Caenorhabditis elegans: one gene and its partners. The protein of the gene in region 3 purifies or fractionates together with the protein of the main gene of each other region. This does not show direct contact. Each region holds a gene or a part of one and is shown on either strand. Other genes may lie near its edges.

Region 1 (4,258 bases), on a different chromosome or scaffold from region 3:
TCTTTCAGGTAGGCATGCCTACCTGATAGCCTCACCTCTACCTGAATCTCTATGTTTCTCCTCAAAATCCTCACCGATTCTAAAAACGGGTCTCTCAAAAAAGTACCAATATATTTTTGCTCAACTTGTTGCCTTCCCTTTTTTGTATCCCGGTATACTTTATTGTTATGCAATACTTAATTGTTCTCTGCGATACGCGGTGCTAATTAGTTTTCAAAATGAATATTTTTCAAATTTGGCCCTCAAACCACACAAACATAAAGTCGCCGACAAAAGGCCAGGGAGAAGAGGTGGAAAAGAAACATGAGTCAGTGTCAGGGTCACTTTTTGAATTTAAAACTGAGACGGAAGAGGAAACGGAGATGAACTGCCACTAGTTGAAATGGATAGCTTTTTGAACTTTTTTCGACAGGTGACAACGGAGTTCTGAGCATTATTTAGATGAAGTAAGACGTCCATGGTTCCTGATGCCTACCTGCCTGCTTAATAATTTTCTGCCCACTTTCCAACCGCCTATATGACTGCAATTTGATGAGAAATCTAGAGGGATTACCAACAGAAAAGTAGCAAAATAGCATGAGAGGAGCATTTTGAACAGCAAAAGTAGACGCCTGAAGCTACCTAAACTTGACTTTTGCTTACAAAAAACTTGCGAGGCAGGCGGCAGGTAGGCATCAAGCAAGCAGATAAGTTACTTCAATTTGAAATATGACTTCTGATCATAATTTCAACAGATTTTATCTCAGCTCTCTTTGAAGTAGTTTTAAAATTGTAAATTAAAAATTCGAATTATGTATGTAGATTATTTCCTTTTTTAACCAGTTAAAATATTATTACCAATAAGAACTGTAAGTTGAATTTAATGATCATATCAAAAACCATTCTAAAAAAAATTCCCGTTTTTCTGAAACGAGATGACCAAAAGCCGGCAATTTTTACAGTTTTACATGTTTATTGCCCTCTTGACTCACCTTTAATTGTTCTGAAAACATATTGTTTACGATTTGAGAAAGGGTGTCGTCAGTCTGTTTATGAAAGTGTTAAAAAATCTGATCTACTATTTTGTTTTGAAATTTTTGTAGAATATTAGCAGATTTTTTTCATGTTTTTGTAATAATTGTAAAATATGTTTTCAATAAGTTTTTGGAATTTTGATAAAAATGAAGTTGAGAATTTGAGTTTCTTGTAATTTTTTTAATCTAAAAATAATTTTTGAAATTTTTTGAGTAAAAAACATTTTTTTAACATTAAAAAAATTTTTGAAACGAATATCTCAGTTAGAAAAATTTTCCCCTTTTTTCTAATCTGCTCAACTTTATAAGCTTATATCTCGGCTGTTTTTGAAGATATTAAAAAATTTTCAACTATTGAAATATAGATAACAACTAGATGCGTAAATTGGCTGTTGAAAATTTTTTTGGTAAAACTAAAGATTACAGAGATACAGATTGCTGAAACTGGAGTATTTCAAAAGTCCTATAGAGTTCAGAGTTCAAATTGTTTTTTCTTTTCATATCACAATATCACTATACATCACTTCGCATATTACTCACCATCCTTTTGAAATTTCATCAGTTCTCAGTCTCAGTGCAGTTCAAACACTTTTATTGTCCTCCGCGCTCAGCGACCACCTATCCCCCAAAAAATTCAAAAGAACACAAACACTCTTTTTCTCTGCCAATCTCTTGTTTACCCGATATTTTTTGTTTTTCGTTTTGTCCTTCGGCATTTCATTTTCCAATCTCTTGTTTCTCTTACTCTCTCGTCTGTTTGTCCACAAGTTAGCCCGCCTCTTTCCAGGTCGGCCTCTGACTTGAAAGTTAGTCTTCATTGCTGTTGACACGCTATATCGACTGCTATCCAAAAATGGTAAGTCTAGAAAATATTGAAATTTTTTGAACTAGATGTCAGATTTATCTAAAAAAAAGTATTCATAAAATTTATAACTTGTAAAACATATTCAACCGTTATTGTTGTAGTTAAAAGTTTTAATATCTAATTTGGATTTTGAAATTTAACATTCAACGATTTAAAATAATTTTCACAAAAAATAAAACGCTCCTTTTAGAGCTCTCACGAGAACGACACCCCTCTCCCAGTTCCGTACACGTCTCGTCTCGGACAACCACTCGACGCTGGACAGACATTGAATGTTCACGGAAAGATCAACGAGGGAGCACAGGTGTAAGTTCAGGGGGTTTTCCTATTAGCTGACTAGGTGCCTACCTACGTGCCTACATTTTTTCTGTCTGGTGCCTGGAGGCAGGCAATAAAAAGCACTGAATGTATCATATTTTAGGTGAACTTTTGAAACAAGCCATATTTCAGAGCCGAGATCAATCTTCTCCAGGGAGGTGGTGAAATTGGACCAAACACCCAAGTGATCCTCCACTTGAAGCTCAATTTTAAGGAAAAGAAAGTTATTCTCAACTCTTACGAGGTACATTTTACTAGAAATATATAACTTTAATCCCGTGATTTTCAGAATGGAGTGTGGGGAAAAGAAGAGCGCGAGTCTCTTCCATTCCAAGCTGGACAAGAATTCGATCTTCGCATCCGAGTTCTCGACGAAGGCCTTGAAATCTCGGCTGACAACAAGAAGATCCACGAGTTCAAACATCGTCTTCCATTCCAATCCATTGAATATCTTTCTGTTCGTGGTGACCTTTCCTTGAATGGAATTCATTGGGGTGGAAGATTCTATAAACTTCCATGGGAGACCGCATTCCCAGCTGGATTTCTTGAAAAGGGACAACGTGTTCATTTGTATGGTATTCCAAAGGGTGATCGTTGGTCACTTGATTTGGTCGCTCGTAATCAGGATATTTTGTTCCATTTCAATCCAAGAATCAAGGATAAGGCGGTGAGTTTTGGCACTCGGGAAGTGTCGGCTGCTCAAGTTTTTTGCATTTTGATTTTGCGCGTTTTTTCTCTTCAAAATCGAAAATTCGAGATTTAAACAATTTATTGAAACAGTTGTTTTTTAGTTTTTGAAAACAATTCTGATAAGTTTGGTACTCTCAGTGTCTTAATTGTTTTGCATTAATAAATGTTTAAAAAATTATTTTTGCAAATCGAAAAAAACTGAGATTTCCGATAATATTCTGATTTTAGTAGTTTAAAAAAATTACAAAAACACAAGTTCTCCTTTACGATTTTCAATTTTCGACTAATAATTGGTGTTTCTGAAAGAAAATAAAAATAGAAAAATTCGAAACAGTAAAAAAAAAATATTTTTTACAATAAAGAAACTTTAAAAAATTTGATTTAACTTTTCCCTATAATCAAAAAAATTAGGTCCCTCTCCCTCTACGTGTTCCCCACATAATTATCATTTTGAATTCACCATGTTTTTCTTCTAGGTCGTCCGTAACTCTCACCGTAATGGATTCTGGGACACCGAGGAACGTGAAGGTGGATTCCCATTCAAGAAGGACGTCGGATTCGATTTGACCATTGTCAACGAAGAATATTCCATTCAAATCTTCATCAATCGCGAACGCTTCGGAACTTTCCAGCACCGTACCCAGAATCCAATTGGTGACTACATTGGACTCAGAATTGATGGAGAGGTTGAGGTCACTGGTATTGAGTTTTCGCATTAAATTTCGCGTTTTCTGGGAAATAATTGCATAATGTATAACAATTAATATGTAAATTAAATAATCTTCTTGCTTTTTTAAAAATAAATTCGAATTGATTTTTATTTGTATGTATTAACATTACTTATATATTGAAAAATTCAGTTCGTCTGTCCATAGTTTGTAGTCTATGTAGTCTTTGTAGTCTGCAAAGTTTTGAAGGGATATTGGTTAAGGGTTAGGGGGGAGATATGGTCAGGGTACTGTAGTAGTACTGTAGGAACAGGGAGCTGTAGTACTGTAGAAGTACTGTATGAATGCTGTAGGAGTATTGTAGTTTGGAAAAAAATTGAGTTATTTATATGCCTGAAATTGGGTTTTTTTGATTGAACTGGAAGCTCCTGGCATCTAGAAAATTTTTTTAATTAAATTCTGAAAGCGCTTACAATTTGAAACAAGTCCCCGACGAAACAGTTTCAAAAAAGTTCATTTTAAGGCAGATACTAATTTTCAAAGTTATTAAAATTAACAAAATCACCCAATAAAAAATGTGGTGACAACTTCGAGACAATGTGTTGTTTAGCGTAAAATACAAAAAAAGTCGTGCGTTGAATGAGAATAAAAAAGCGTTTTGTGCGTTTGGCACAGTACCAGCTCCCCTTTTCGTATCTCACCTT
Region 2 (4,937 bases), on a different chromosome or scaffold from region 3:
AACGACTTCCAACTAAAAATTGAGTTTCTCGACGTTCCTATTAAAATTGTGATGGACATTATAGTAAACCGATCGAATCAGTGGAACATGACGGCATGAATACGTGAAAAGATCAAAGTGTTAAGATTGAAGTGTCATAAAGTTTTTTATGAATAGTGATATCATTGAGATCTTAGCGAGGACACCTGAACTAGACATTTGAACCCAAGTCTTTTAAGTTTTTTGGGTTCAGTGAGAGGCATGAACAGTGACCGAAAGATGAAGATTCATTATTTTTCTTTCTCGAAATCTTTTTTAAATTTGTCGAAACTTAAGTTGTAGGTGGTGCCAGAGAAACATTAGAGAAAAACAAAAAACTACATGGACATTGAAAGTATTTCTCGAGACATTCAGGTAGAGTGAGGCGTTGCGTGGCGCTTCTCTCCTTCAACTCGCCCTCTTTGGACCCTAGTGGCTGCATCCGTGCGTTGCGTCCTTGCTGAATGTCTAGTTAGTTTCCAATAGTAAATATTTGTTTTTTACCAAAAAATCTACATCCCGAAACAGAATGCTTCATTGTTCAAAAAAAGGAAGGTCAAATAATAATCCCAGAGGTCCCAAAAGCATCACAGCAATCATCAATAAGTTAGGTAGAATAACAGAGAAAACGGGAACTATTAAAAAATAATAAAGCAATTTGGAAATTGTGATCGAGTTGATTAAATGATTAAGCCATTGGATTGGACTTCATAAGGATAATGTCGCTTGCAACCATCTCTTTGACGAGTTCCTGAAATATATAATTTTCATGGATTTCGATAAGTAAAACCATTCTTCAATTACAATGGTTTTTATAAGTTCAAAATTTAATTATAAAAACCTTGAATACTTTTTGAAACTCACCGGAACCGTAACCTTTGCTTCCCATCCAAGAGTCTTCTTTGCTTTTTCAGCATTTCCCAATAAAGTCTCCACTTCAGTTGGTCTGTAGTACTTTGGACTAACTTTAACTCGAATAACTCCATCTTTATTCTTTCCAACTTCCTCAACACCTTCTCCTTCCCATTGCAATACTTCTCCAATTTCAGCAAATGCAAGATTACAAAACTCTCTGACACTGAATTGTTTTCCAGTTGCAATCACAAAATCATCTGGTGAGTCGTGTTGAAGAATTCTCCACATTGCTTCAACATACTCTCTGGCGTGTCCCCAATCACGAAGAGCACTCAGATTTCCGAGCTCAATGCTTTCCTGTTGCCCCAAACTGATTTTAGCGACTGAACGAGTGATCTTACGAGTCACGAATGTCTCTCCTGAAATACCAACATGAGAGTTGCTTTCAATTTTGCAGGCTTTTTTTTGCAGTTTGAAAAATTTGACGTACCTCTTCTTGGACTCTCATGGTTGAACAAAATTCCATTGCAAGCAAACATATTGTAGGCTTCACGATAGTTAACAACAATCCAGTACCCGTACATCTTGGCAACAGCATATGGAGATCTTGGATAGAATGGAGTCTTCTCACTTTGTGGAATCTCTTGAACTTTTCCATACAATTCGGATGTGGATGCTTGATAGAATCGAACTTTTTCAGTCAAACGACAAGCATGGATTGCATCGAGAAGGCGAAGAGTTCCAACAGCGTCTACTTCAGCAGTGTATTCTGGCAAATCAAAAGACACTTTGACGTGAGATTGAGCAGCCAAATGATACACCTAGAAAGAACATAATTAACTGGTTATATTTTGAGAACATATAAAACGGAGGTACAGAAAAATCTTAACACGCAGACAGACATTTTTGTCTGTCTGCGTGAAGCTTGGAATATTTGTAATTCTGTATGAATAACAATACTCACTTCGGTTGGCTCGATAGTTGAAATGAGCTTGATGAGACAAGATGAATCAGTCATATCTCCATAGTGAAGAGAGAATGAAGAATCACCGTGATGAGTAATTGGATTACTGTACAGATGTTCGATTCTTGCGGTATTGAATGAAGATGAACGACGGATGATTCCGTGAACTTTGTATCCTTTTGAAAGAAGAAGCTCAGCAAGATATGAACCGTCCTGAAAAAAGTGCTGGCGTAAATACGAAGCAAGAAAAATGATTAACATACTTGTCCAGAAATTCCAGTAATCAGAGCAACCTTGCGTGCTCTGAAAGCAGCCAACTCAGCAGCTGGAGTAGTGGACACTTCGTGGCTCATTCCGATACACGCTTCAAGACCCTGAAATTTAGAATTTTTGATATCCTATTTAAAATTACCAATCTCCCAAAGACAAAGGAACATCCTATTTACCTGTTCAGCACTAGAATCCATTTCAATTCTATTCACAAAAAGGGGGATAAATTAGGCTAACTGATAAAACTATCAGAATGATTGAGAATGTACAAAAAGCCAACAGTTAATGCAATTCGGGACACCCAAAAGCGACACGTAGGAGAGGCAATCGAAAGAGAGAGGGAGAGAGAGGGAAAAGAGGCGAAACATGGAAAAAGGGACGTGGCACTTCATTTTACGGAAAATGTATAAATGTACCAATCCTAGGCTGTGTCAATATAATAGGGGAGCATTTAGAATTGTACTAATGCAAAGTAATTAGGATACTTTTTAAATGTAAAGCGGTATGGTTAGGAAATTATAATTTCTCTATATTTTCCAGAAGACCAACATATCTTTTAAATCGGTCAAAAATACCTAGAATGTTTTAGATTTTGAACTTTTCAGTTAAGATTTTGACAATCTGCCAAACTTTGGAAACACATAATTTTTGATCAGTTTAAAACATTCATGCATTATTCGACGGTGTACTAAATTAATACAAATAATTAAAATATGAAATTCCACTAGAGCTGATCTAATTCAAGGAAATCAGTATTTATAAGACTAGGATTAAATATATAGAATTTGATAACCTTAACAAATCAGTCACATACCTCAACTTTAGATATTTCCATGTTACCAACAACTTCAGAAATATCAGAAGATTCAGACTTGCCGGTTGGCATTGCAACGGTTCAATTTAGATTTCGAATAAGAATGAAAATAATGAGGAAAAGCTGAGGAACACGCCCCCAGAATCAGGATTTTTCTCAAATAGTGGAGGATAAAAATCTAACCGTGTTCGATGGAAGAAAGATAGAGAATCCCGAATTTATTTGAGACAATGAGTGTATAGATTGGAAGAATAGAAGACGGAAAAGCCGGAGAGATTCTTATTCATTAACAAACTGGAACACGAAAATGAAAAAAAAAGAAGTGCCGTCTGATGCATTAAAAATTTCTAGATTATTTTCAACAAATACCTGATTATTTCCATTGGAACAAGTCTGACAGAATATTTTTGAATCATGTGAGTTCATTGTTTCAAATATTTGTTTCGTCTAGAAGTGCATTTTAAGTATAAAGACGAAGGAATTTGCCAAGGAAACGTACATAGCAACCAAAGAATTGGAATATTTCCCATAGAAACCAGAGACAAAACGACGACAAATTAGGACTCTATTGATGAATTATTTGAAATTGAGCAATTTATTATTCAGCTTTAAAATTTTCAAAAATTTTAAAGATGAGCTTTCTCATTTTCTAAAAATATGTATCGTGGCAAGACCAATGATGTCTCAATGGAGCGCACTTTATTATGCAACCAAATTCCCAATATTCATCAATAGATTTTTTAATAAAAATATCAAACCTCAATTTTCGCATTTTGATCAGCCATTTTTACTCTTAAAAACGAGAATTAATGATGGTATGAATTTCAAAATAATAATTTTAATTAAATATAAAAAAATATTTAAATATATTAATTTATTCCACGTTAAAGAAACGTTTCATTTCATTTCAAAAATTTCAATTCCACGTTCAGAAAACGTTTCAATTGCCTAACAACAGTAAGAAGAAGATAATTAGAGAAACAGAGAAAGTGTGTTACGTGGTGAAGGTGCGGCTATGGTGATAACTGATAATATTAATAATGATAAGAAGACCCGTTCTTTTGTACTCAAGGCTCATTTTGCTCATGGAGCCGGGCCACAAAAATCAATAAATTTGCATCCTGAAGCCCTATGCCTACTCTCAACGTGGGGACGCTTTGCCAGTTGGCGTTTCTCACTGTCTCCGTCTCTAGGTTTACTCCACTCTCTCGCGTGTATTTTTGAAATGTAAAATATCCACATCAACAGTGGAAATATAGTCTACTTGTGTATTCGATTATCAATTCATAGTGCAAATAGTTTATTATCACATTGTTCTGAAATGTTCCATGCAAAAAATGATACAAATTCGAGATGATGAAGAGAGATTGATATCTTAAAAGCGGGCAAATGACACTGAAAAAAGGATTGTTCCAATGAAAACAAATGCGGCACCGATGATGTGAAACATGTTGAAAACGTTTTCAAAAACTATAAATGAGATCAAAAGCGAAAAGAATTTTCGGAGAGTTAGGACCATTGTCACGTTTAGAGATGTTGTCACGGCGGAGAGCATGTAGACACCTTTTGTGCAAGCGAATCTATAATATATAAGAATAAGAAAAATTGACCATTGAAACAAAAATGTTTTTGTTTTTTTTAATTTCTTCCGCGGAGACCCGACGTTTTGGCAAATTGCCAAACTCTTCGAAAATTATTTCGAAAATTTTTAGTTTTTCGAGAACCTATAGAGAAATACACATTTAGGTACATCAGGTGCATATTATTAAAATATTTTTTGGTTCAATTTTAAAAGTTTGAGTGACAAAAACTAAATAATTTCAATTTTTGATTGTGAATGAAACAATTAAAACGTTATTGAACAGTTTAATTTTGATATTAAGCCATTTCAGAAAAATGCCCACTGACTATACTTCACTTTCAAAGTTTAACGTCAAATTAAATAATCACTAGAACTTACTGGAATAGGCAAATTGCAAAAATATACACCCATGCCGATGGGACTACAGTATCCAA
Region 3 (4,711 bases):
AAACAAAAAATTTAGACAACTTCATAAAAATATACTTTTCCGCTTAATCTTCCATCTTAATAAATTTCTAAAATTTTCCAGGGAAAATTGGTGAAAGGAATGGGCGGTGCAATGGATCTTGTCTCTGCTCCCGGAGCCCGTGTGATCGTTGTAATGGAGCATGTATCGAAGAACGGAGAGCCAAAAATTCTAGAGCACTGCGAACTTCCTCTGACCGGCAAAGGAGTAATTTCCCGAATCATTACTGATATGGCAGTTTTCGACGTGGACACAAAGAACGGATTGACATTGATCGAAGTCAGGAAGGATCTTACTGTAGATGATATCAAGAAACTCACCGCTTGCAAATTCGAAATTTCCGAAAATCTGAAGCCAATGGGACAGGCTCCTCTTAATCAAGGATAATTTGTCAATTTTGACAAATTTCCGTGAAATGTGTAAATACTTCTTTAGTCCGTTGTTTGTTACTTTTTTGTCTTTTGCCTATAATACCGGTTTAGGATTGTGTGAACAAAAAGAGTTTTAATGAAATAGTTCATAAAAAAATATAAAAATTGAGTTACAACAAAAATTACAGTTCCAGTAATTCATAGAGGAGTTTTGCAGAGCTGAAAATTTTTTATAAAGTCGAAATTTTTGGAAACAAGAGCTTACAGTAGTAATATCTGGAAGTGGCTTCAGTGTCTCGGCCAAAGTCTGAAGAGCTCCAAGTGGACACAAGGTGGCTCCATTACAAATTGGAAGTTGACTTGTCACATCAGAAATCGGAGTGTCATCTCCTTCACGGTACAGAACCTGAAAATTTAATTGTTCGAATTTTCTGGTTTCTCTCTGGAATACCTTGAAGAATCTCTCGTTTGTTGACGTGTTTCTGTGGAATTCCATAAATATTCCAGCTGCGTATGCTGGCCATCCGTCAAGTGTGTTAGCGATTTGTGGAATACCAAGAGCAACCAGGACACCGTACACATTGTTGTCATGCTGGAAAACGAATTTGTTGTGAGATCTTGGAAAATTGATTTCAAAAATTAAAAAAAACATTTTTTTTGTCAAAATTTTTTTTTCTGAAAATCCTGAAAAAATTCGCATGAAAAGTAACTAGCTTTTCTTTTCTTTTTTTTTATATTTCAATTTCTTAGAGTTACCTACAATGCTTGCCTACATTCCGACAAGCCTTGACTGGTGCCTCGGCATGAGGTAGGCAGAGGTAGCTAGGGATGAACAGATTCCTACCTACTATGATGGTATACTTAACTTCCAGTCAAGTACAGTAATACTACCGTAGTCTACCGTATTCCCAACTACGGTAAGATCGTGGCTAGATATCATGCATTTTTGAACTTAAATTATGGAGTAAACTTTAAAATCTCTTACAATAGAATATCCATAGAATTTCAGCTTATTCAAATAGCTAGTGCAGTTTTGTCCCAGCTCTGCACAATTCAATTTTTCATTGGCACGATTGAAAACTTCATTGATAATAACTCCGGATCGAACTTTTTTGATTTCAAGACCCACATCGAGCCCGGAAGAAGTGACAGCAGGATTCTCTGAAACCAAGCTTCACTGAGACTTTAATCTCGTCCCAACTAACCAAAATTTCCCTCTAAAAATCCCTTAACCGGAGCATATGTAACTTGGGCTTGATAGTAGAGTTCTTCATTGTACCATGGAAGCTTCGCGTACATAGTTCTGTTGAAATATGCTCTCTGGCATTTCCACGTATCTGGGTATGTTGTGAAGGAGTCTAGGCCAGATGTCATGTTGTAATATCCACCGACACGACGGTTAAGTAGGACCACCTAAAAATTGAAATTCAGAGGAGGCACGTGCCTGCCTACCGTCTATTTTCTACATTCAGGCAGTCAGGATTTAAACTACAATATTTGAGATTCACATATTGTAGCTTTACGCATTTGATCGAATGATAAATGAACAATCGTTCACGAAAAACTTGACAGTAGGTCTACTAGTAGGCAAGCGTCTAGGCGGAAGGCAGGCATTTTAGGCGCCTGTTCATAGTTACCGACAAAGCCATCACAACGTGAATACGGTTACCGATGATAGTATAATTCAATCAAACCTTACCTGCGTATACTTTGGCAAAACTTCCGGAAGAGTCAACATCTGCCCTTGGAGAAGATCGTATCTTGTGCATGGACAGTTCTGACTAGCGGCCTGGAAAGGTTTGTAATAATTTTGTAATTTTAACTGGCACGCGCAGTAAGATTATTTAAGACTACTCGAGAACCAATGTAAATTTACAACATACACACTGATCCGGACCATCGACGTGAACTGGAACAAACGTGAATCCAGGGAACCAAGTGAGTGGGGAGTATGGATAGTCAACGTCTGAATATGGTAATCATCAAAACTAATGCATTAGAGGTAATATAATAGTTGGATTTTTGCTAATTTTATAAGAGACGTGCAGACAATTTCAATATGAAAAATTAAAAAGTAAAGATATCACTGGACTAAATTTATCTATTCGTTCAACAGAAAAAGTCATATTGGCTTTAAGTTTGAACCGTTTGGCATAAAAAATTTAATCAATTTTTTGACAACCTACTTTTGACATCATACAAGCTTGGTGGAAACAGCCCGTACAAAAGTGATTGTGCCGAAATAATGGTACGATTGAAATTAGTTGATCTAAAATATACCTGGAAATAATCATATTTTGGCACGTTCTAACATTTTTAGGGTATACCTCTCTGGACGCATACTTTGGTGTCAAAAACTTCAATTTAGTAACATATCTTTTACGAATAAGCCATCCAAGTTCGTTCATTTCTCCCATTCCAATTGCAGTCAGCTCTCCGAGACCACCTCCTCCATAAATCCAATCTTTTTCGTAAATTGGGTATTGATCAACTTGAGATGCACGTTCTCCGTGTCTCCACATCTTGAAATAATTAAAAATAAATTGTACTACCCAAGTAACTTTCACTGAGGACTAAATTTGGCATTTAGGATTTCATATAACTTACCGCTTGAACAAACTCCAATTTGACATTGCTCTGCCCATTAGCAAATACCAAAATGGCTGTTGAAGCCAACAGACTGAAAATTGAGATCATCATAATTTTTGATCTACAAATGTTCCTATATCAGAACAACCTATTTAAAGAGTTGAGCTCGTTAAAAAAACCATAAAAATTGTTTCAAAATCATATCTTCAGATAGAAAATGAATAAAAATATGGTCAGTTTAATAGATATAACTATCCCGCGTTTCGATTTTCTCGTGATTACATGATAAAGCCATGTACTTTTCAGAGTGATGATAGACTGAACTCATAAAATTGGTGTGAAAGAATATGTAAACAAACTAGGTCTGCAACATTTTTTCTTATCGAATGGATATTTTATCAATTCTGGTCTAAAGTCGAAATATATGCTATCTAAAAGTTTGTGACCATGGCCGTGATCTTTGAGCACTTTTGAAAGTACCATTTATCGAATGTTGCAAAATTCATGAAACAGTCTCTGTCAGAACTATTCATGTTTTTAGTTTTTAGTATTTTTTCCAGATATATTTTTTTGCGTTTTCCAGATCTTGGGCAGGCGTTAGGCACATCCTGATTAGGTCTTGGCACAGGGCGAAGTTTACCAAAAATTTTTGGCACGTGCTCGCTGGCTGCCTCAAAATTCATGTTTTCTCGCGGACAAGAAAACTTGAGAAATGTGAGCAAATGGCCTTGAAAATCCTGGAAGAGGAGAATTCCTCGTCCACCGCCAAAATAGCGTGTGAAAGAAGAGACGCAGATGGCAAAACGGTTATCCTTTGTGTTTTTCACGTCCAGAGAAAAAAGTATTATCTGCGTCTCTCACCGCCAATGCATAGCGAGAGTTTGCAAAAAGCATTAATCTGTTAAAAAATTTGACTAAAGTTGGCAGAGCCATTTAATGCGTTTTTTAGTTCGTTCGTGAATAGTCCTACCAACAAAAACAACAGTTAATTTGTAAAGTATCCATTAAAGGATTTGAACTGTTAGTTCTCAATTAGAAAAATAAAGGTATTAGTTGAATTTTTCTTCATGGTTACTCTATATCTTTTTAATGGCTATTATATTGTACGCACTTAAAACCAACTTTGAAAATTTATAGTTTTTTATTTCTAAATTGTAATACATATTACAAGTTTTATTTTACCATAATTCTCTTGGTCCCAACTTTTTCCGTACAATTTCTGAAAATGTTTAAACATTCTTCTGTGATTCAATGTCTTCAAAAGAATTTCCAAGACAGACAAAATCCATTTCATATAAAAATGGAACACTCAATTTCAACAGAAAAAAAACACTCAATTTCAACAGAAAAAAAAAATTAAAACAACCAAAAAGTGAAAGCTTGGAGATGGAAACAAAAGATCATCATGAAAATTTGATATGAATACAAACGGTAAAAACAACTAGTAGAAGACTAAAATTGGATATTTATGTTGATTTCTGGATGGTGGGCCAATCTCCATACGTCTCGTCATCCCATTTCTGAAACTATTATCGGATTAGATCAGTCAATGTTTGGATTACAGTATGTAAAAGTTACTTTTACTGCGATGATATAAACTTTTAAACATTAAAAAATGGCAAATAATGAATGCCCTGCTTACCCCAACAAATTCTGGATTCAATGAGTTAGTCACGCTCCGTTGGCTACCGTAATCATTGTTACTTTGTCTTTTAACGTGTTTGTGTTGTGAA
Region 4 (4,693 bases), on a different chromosome or scaffold from region 3:
AATCTTTATTCCAAATGGCTCAACACGAAAATTGATGCCGACTTTCTTTAAAAGTTTTTGTGCACATATTTTGCATACATGAAAATGTTTATTCTATTAATATACACGGGGTTCCGGCCTTCCTCAATGGATTTTTCGCGCTCCATTGACAATCGCTCGCCGGACAACGCATGGGAAAGTGGTGCACTCCACTCGGACAAATGCATTTAGTTTTACAACTAAAATCGAGCCGCAACGCGCCGTAAATCTACCCCAGATATGGCCGAACCAAAATGGCCTAGTTCGACAAACTCTTCCATTTCAATTTATGAGGGAAGCCAGAAATCCGTGCAATATTTTGCCAGCAGTTTTCTACAACTTGTCGGCGGTGTTTGAAAACGTTTACTATATTGACAAAAGTTCGTCAGTTTTGCCGTTTTTGACAATTTCCGACAACTTTCGTCAACTTTCGACAATTATCAGTAACTTTCCACAATTTTCGATAGCTTCAGCCAACTTTCTGCACTTTTTCGACGCGACTTCCTTTATTATTTTTCACAATCAAGAGTTTAGAGTAAAGTGGAGAAAATGGGGAATTTTAAATTTAAAAAAACGAAAATTTTTGGAGGGCGGTGTGGTTTGAGATATCATCAATAGGGAGACCCATTCAGTGAACAAAATATGGACAATTTTATGGGGAAAAATGAGCAAAAGGGCTCAGGAGGAATCACACAATATTCACAAAAAAATATTCGTTGAAAAAATATGGAAAGTGGGAAAAATAGAGGGAAAATGGGATTTTTCGAGCAAAAAATTGGAAATCTTCACAGGAAAAATCGGAAAAAAAAATTTCTTAGCAAAAAATCGGAGAAAATTTTGATTTTTTCACTCAAAAACCAGCAAGAAATCAGGGAAATATCGGGGAAAATTAGGATTTTTAGCAGAAAAATGAGAAAAAGGTCGAAAAAATGGGAAATTAATCGATATTTAGACGCCGATTGAGTGCACTGACGTAGGCTTGATGAATCTGTGAAACGAATTCGTCGTCGGTTTGCATTAGGTGGGCGATTGCTGAGATGAACTGAAAAAATTTGAATTTTAGGGGGTTTTCGGTGATTTTTAACGATTTTTCACAAAAATCTGAGATTTTTAGATAAATTTCGCTTTTTTCCGGAAATTTTACCGCTTTTTTATAATTTTTAGGAAAAAACGGTACTTTTTTTAAAAGAGATTTCAATACCTAAGCTAGACTAAGCCTAAGCCTATGCCTATGCCTAAGCCTAAGTTTAAGGTTAGGCCTACGCCTACGCCTAAGCCCAAGGCTAAATCTAAAGGACAAGACTAAGCTTGAGCCTAGGCCTATGCCTAAGCCTGAGCCTCAGCATAAGCCTAAGCCTAATCCTAAGCCGAAGCAGAAGCCTAAGCCTGAGCCTGAACCTAGGTCTAGGCCTGAGCCTAAGCCTGGGCCTAAAATTTTCAGCTTAAGTATCGTAATTTCATGTTGAAAAACAAATAAAGTCGATTTCAAGCTTAAAAATTGCTCATTTTCACTGAGAAAGCAGATTTTTAGCTGGAAAACCTGAATTTTCCGTTAAAAAACTGATTTTTCGCATTTTTTAGCTCCAATTTCGAGCAAAAATGGGATTTTTGACAAAATTTTTCAACTAAAATAAAGATTTTTCATGTAAATTTTCGAGATTTCTCGTGAAAAATCAGTTTTTAATTGATTTTATCTAAAAAATCTGAGCTTTTCACTCAAAAAAAAAACGTTTTTCCAGCTCCAACCTGTTCTTTATTGAGAACAGGCGTCTGTTCACCACTTCCAACGACAAATGAAGCATCAAGTGGCTCTAAAATCTCTCCTTCAGCAATATCCGACTCCACATCACCCTCCGATCCATGCAAAGGCTTCGTCGAGACCGCCGCCAACGAAATCGCCGACGTTGAGTTAGTAAATTCTTGCAAAAGATGATTCCGATGCGGTTTTGCCGACTTTATAAGATCCTTCTCGAGCTCATCGGCCGACATTGCTGCTCCCGGCTCTTTGAGCATCAGCTTCTGGAGCATTGGCGGCATTTGTTCGATCGTTGCCGCAGATTTTTGCGGCGGATTTTGCGCACTTTTTATGAGCTGGAGAAGATCCACTTTTGGTGGGGCTTGAGGAGCCATTTGTGGAGCTTGAGCTGGAGCTGCTGGAGCCTGCGTTGGAGCCGGAACCGAAGCCTGTGGAGCCTCCGAGGCGGCCTTGGCGGCCCGAGCCTGCTCCGTAGTGCTTCCTTTCAGACGATTCACGAGTTTTTGCAACAAATTGTAGATTTTCTGAGCATCATCAATCTGGTGGAACCATAGTGCTTGAATTGAGGCCAAATCCTTGTAAAAGTAGATGAAATTTCCGTCGTGGCGGAGAATATGGTTGAGGGTGAGCGGCTCGATGAAATCCGATGGATCGTTGCGATTTGCGATGAGGAAACTGAAATAAATAAGTTTAAAATTGATTATTTTAGCTATTTTTGCATGTTTTCTTGCTTCTTCTCACCTAAAATATGGCCGATCAGCTCTCTGATAGACGAAAAATGTTCCTTCGCAATTCGACTGATTCCACTCTTTTCTCGCCGCATCGATATGATAAATCGCGGCAAATGGCATCTACAAAACCAATTTTTAGCTTTAAAATCCACAATTCTCTATGTTAAACCTTGTCGAGAATCTTGCTGGCGGCGATGTCGATTTTCTGGAGTTGTGCGAGGTTTTTCGCGGCTAGCTCGGCGGCGGCCTTTTTTTTAGCGTCGCTCATACTGGTTCCTGGATGAAAATGTTGAGTTTTCGATGAAAAATGATGAGAAAAGTGCAAAAAATCTGCGGAAATCGGTGAAAATCGCGAAAAAAACAAAGAAAGACAGAATTTAAATTGAAATTCTATGGTGTAGATTTACGGTAAACAGGGCGCGCTGCGGGATTTTGGAGTATCGTTGTAATTGTAAACTGAATTTTTAAAGCAAAAAATTTGTTTCTTAAACGAAAAAATCAGATAAAAATGCAAAATAATTCATTTAAACCGAGAAAATCAAATAAAAACATCAATAAATCAAATCTAAACAATCAAAGCGTCAATCTTCTTAGCCCACAACTCCACATTGTTCGGAAGGTGCTCCCCAAGGTTCAGAAGGCTTCTGAACACAATATCAGCGACACACACCTCCCATTGAGAGCTTAACGAGTCGAAACGAGCCAGGAACTGAGAAGCTTCACGTGTGACAAAGCTCTGATCACAGGAGCCGGCAAGGATTTGCTCGGCCTGAAAGAAAATTTGATTTTTTTGGGAAAGTTTCTAAAATTTCCTACTTTTCCCAGCCAAATCGCTTGATGACTGGCGCTGAGCACTTGTTGTGGCCGTCTAGAGAAGAGCCCGAGTGAAGAGCCCAACAGCTTCCAGATAGTTTGAAGGGATTTGACGGTAGTTTTTTCCAATTGCAGGGAGGGAGCAGGGCCTGAAAATATTGAAAATTAAGGGTATATCATAAAATTCTGATTTTTAGAGAAAAAATCCCGCACCTTTCACAACTTTCAGACTGGATTTCTTCTCTTTCGTCTGATTTTTGACTTCTCCCTCAAACGAGACTCCACGGCTTGCGCCGACCTTTGCGAGAGCCCGAGCCCACGGCAAATCCACGTCCCGCACTGTCAGCGTGGCGTTTTTCAGCTGCTCCTGCGGCTCGTAGGCCACAAGGGAGGTTGGGAGATTCACGGTGAGAGTCAGATTGGTCTCCCACGTCTTTCGGTCGTCCTGGACGGTCCATGGAGTCGAATTTACGGTCTTTTTCGCGGATTTCTGTGGTGGAGCCTCTCCGGAAGCCAATTTCTTTACGGCTTCTGCCTTGGCAGCCTTGCGAGCCTCCTTCTTGGCGTCCTTGTCTAGTTTTGCGGGGGCTCCGGGGACTCCGGGAGCTGAAGAGGCTGCTCCAGCGGATTTCTCAGGCTCTTTTGGCGCTTTTTCCGCAGGTTTTTGAGCAGATCTCTCTGCTTTTCCAGCCTCTCCAAGGCTTACCAGCAACTTCTTGAGCTCTTCGGTCTGTGCTTTGAGCTGCTCGATCAGTGAGAGCTGTTTGTGCTCCAAAGCCTTGCGCGGATCGGATTCTACCTGAAATTTCAGTTTTTTTTGAGCCAAAATCCGTCTATTACCTGCACCGCATCAGAAGGCCCGACTCCTCCGAAAGATGGATTATGATACGAACCTACTGGATAGCAGGCGATTTTCGGATGAACCTCAAAATTCGGTGGGAACGTCGGTGTCAGCTTGTACATTGGCATCGCGTGATTTACCCTGGAAAATCCTATTTTATACGAAATCTTGAGATTTTTGAGATTTTCAGAGCAATCGAGAGATTGTAAGATGGAATTTCGAGAATCTAAAATTTTTCAGAAGCGTTAAAGGCACCAAAAAACATGAAATATGCTTGAAAAACTGGGAAAACCATCAAATTTCTGGAAAAAAAATTTAGAGTTTAAAACAACGATGCTCCGAATTAACAAGTGCGTGTTATTTATTTTTAGTGAATTTTTGGTATAAAATCAGCATTTTTACATGATTTATGTAATTTTTGCGGGAAATAGACGAAAAATTACCGGTTTTTACTGAATTTTGATATAAAATAGCTTGAAAACAGCTAAAAAACCCAAAAATCAGAAATAAAAGCAAATGTGGATTTACGATAAA

Evidence for each region.
Region 1: the proteins of pho-11 (region 3) and lec-4 fractionate together in Caenorhabditis elegans (co-fractionation; one large-scale study listed by BioGRID). This does not show direct contact.
Region 2: the proteins of pho-11 (region 3) and bre-1 fractionate together in Caenorhabditis elegans (co-fractionation; one large-scale study listed by BioGRID). This does not show direct contact.
Region 4: the proteins of pho-11 (region 3) and dcap-1 fractionate together in Caenorhabditis elegans (co-fractionation; one large-scale study listed by BioGRID). This does not show direct contact.

The regions. Positions count from the first base shown.
Region 1 is NC_003281.10:3,770,869-3,775,126, reverse strand, and holds lec-4 (Galectin), read left to right. Parts: upstream 1-1,800; 5' UTR 1,801-1,866; coding exon 1,867-1,869; intron 1,870-2,068; coding exon 2,069-2,184; intron 2,185-2,328; coding exon 2,329-2,440; intron 2,441-2,485; coding exon 2,486-2,863; intron 2,864-3,362; coding exon 3,363-3,605; 3' UTR 3,606-3,702; downstream 3,703-4,258.
Region 2 is NC_003282.8:8,986,044-8,990,980, reverse strand, and holds bre-1 (GDP-mannose 4,6 dehydratase 1), read right to left. Parts: upstream 3,059-4,937; 5' UTR 2,994-3,058; coding exon 2,922-2,993; intron 2,405-2,921; exon of another isoform or gene 2,305-2,404; coding exon of another isoform or gene 2,284-2,304; intron 2,212-2,283; coding exon 2,101-2,211; intron 2,051-2,100; coding exon 1,838-2,050; intron 1,695-1,837; coding exon 1,364-1,694; intron 1,293-1,363; coding exon 883-1,292; intron 770-882; coding exon 707-769; 3' UTR 537-706; downstream 1-536. Other genes in the region: nstp-1 (UAA transporter), read right to left, coding at 4,297-4,501, 4,882-4,937.
Region 3 is NC_003280.10:9,930,241-9,934,951, reverse strand, and holds pho-11 (Putative acid phosphatase 11), read right to left. Parts: upstream 3,104-4,711; 5' UTR 3,090-3,103; coding exon 2,997-3,089; intron 2,912-2,996; coding exon 2,717-2,911; intron 2,670-2,716; coding exon 2,576-2,669; intron 2,356-2,575; coding exon 2,273-2,355; intron 2,179-2,272; coding exon 2,089-2,178; intron 1,803-2,088; coding exon 1,595-1,802; intron 1,551-1,594; coding exon 1,375-1,550; intron 982-1,374; coding exon 841-981; intron 796-840; coding exon 655-795; intron 609-654; coding exon 588-608; 3' UTR 521-587; downstream 1-520. Other genes in the region: C05C10.3 (putative succinyl-CoA:3-ketoacid coenzyme A transferase, mitochondrial), read left to right, coding at 82-405; C05C10.2 (DNA2/NAM7 helicase-like C-terminal domain-containing protein), read right to left, coding at 4,445-4,504, 4,621-4,711.
Region 4 is NC_003282.8:1,052,014-1,056,706, forward strand, and holds dcap-1 (mRNA-decapping enzyme 1), read right to left. Parts: upstream 2,782-4,693; 5' UTR 2,774-2,781; coding exon 2,675-2,773; intron 2,626-2,674; coding exon 2,516-2,625; intron 2,450-2,515; coding exon 1,765-2,449; intron 1,061-1,764; coding exon 956-1,060; 3' UTR 511-955; downstream 1-510. Other genes in the region: Y55F3AM.13 (FH2 domain-containing protein), read right to left, coding at 3,071-3,274, 3,322-3,467, 3,532-4,117, 4,159-4,287. UniProt on the Caenorhabditis elegans protein: Component of the decapping complex necessary for the degradation of mRNAs, both in normal mRNA turnover and in nonsense-mediated mRNA decay.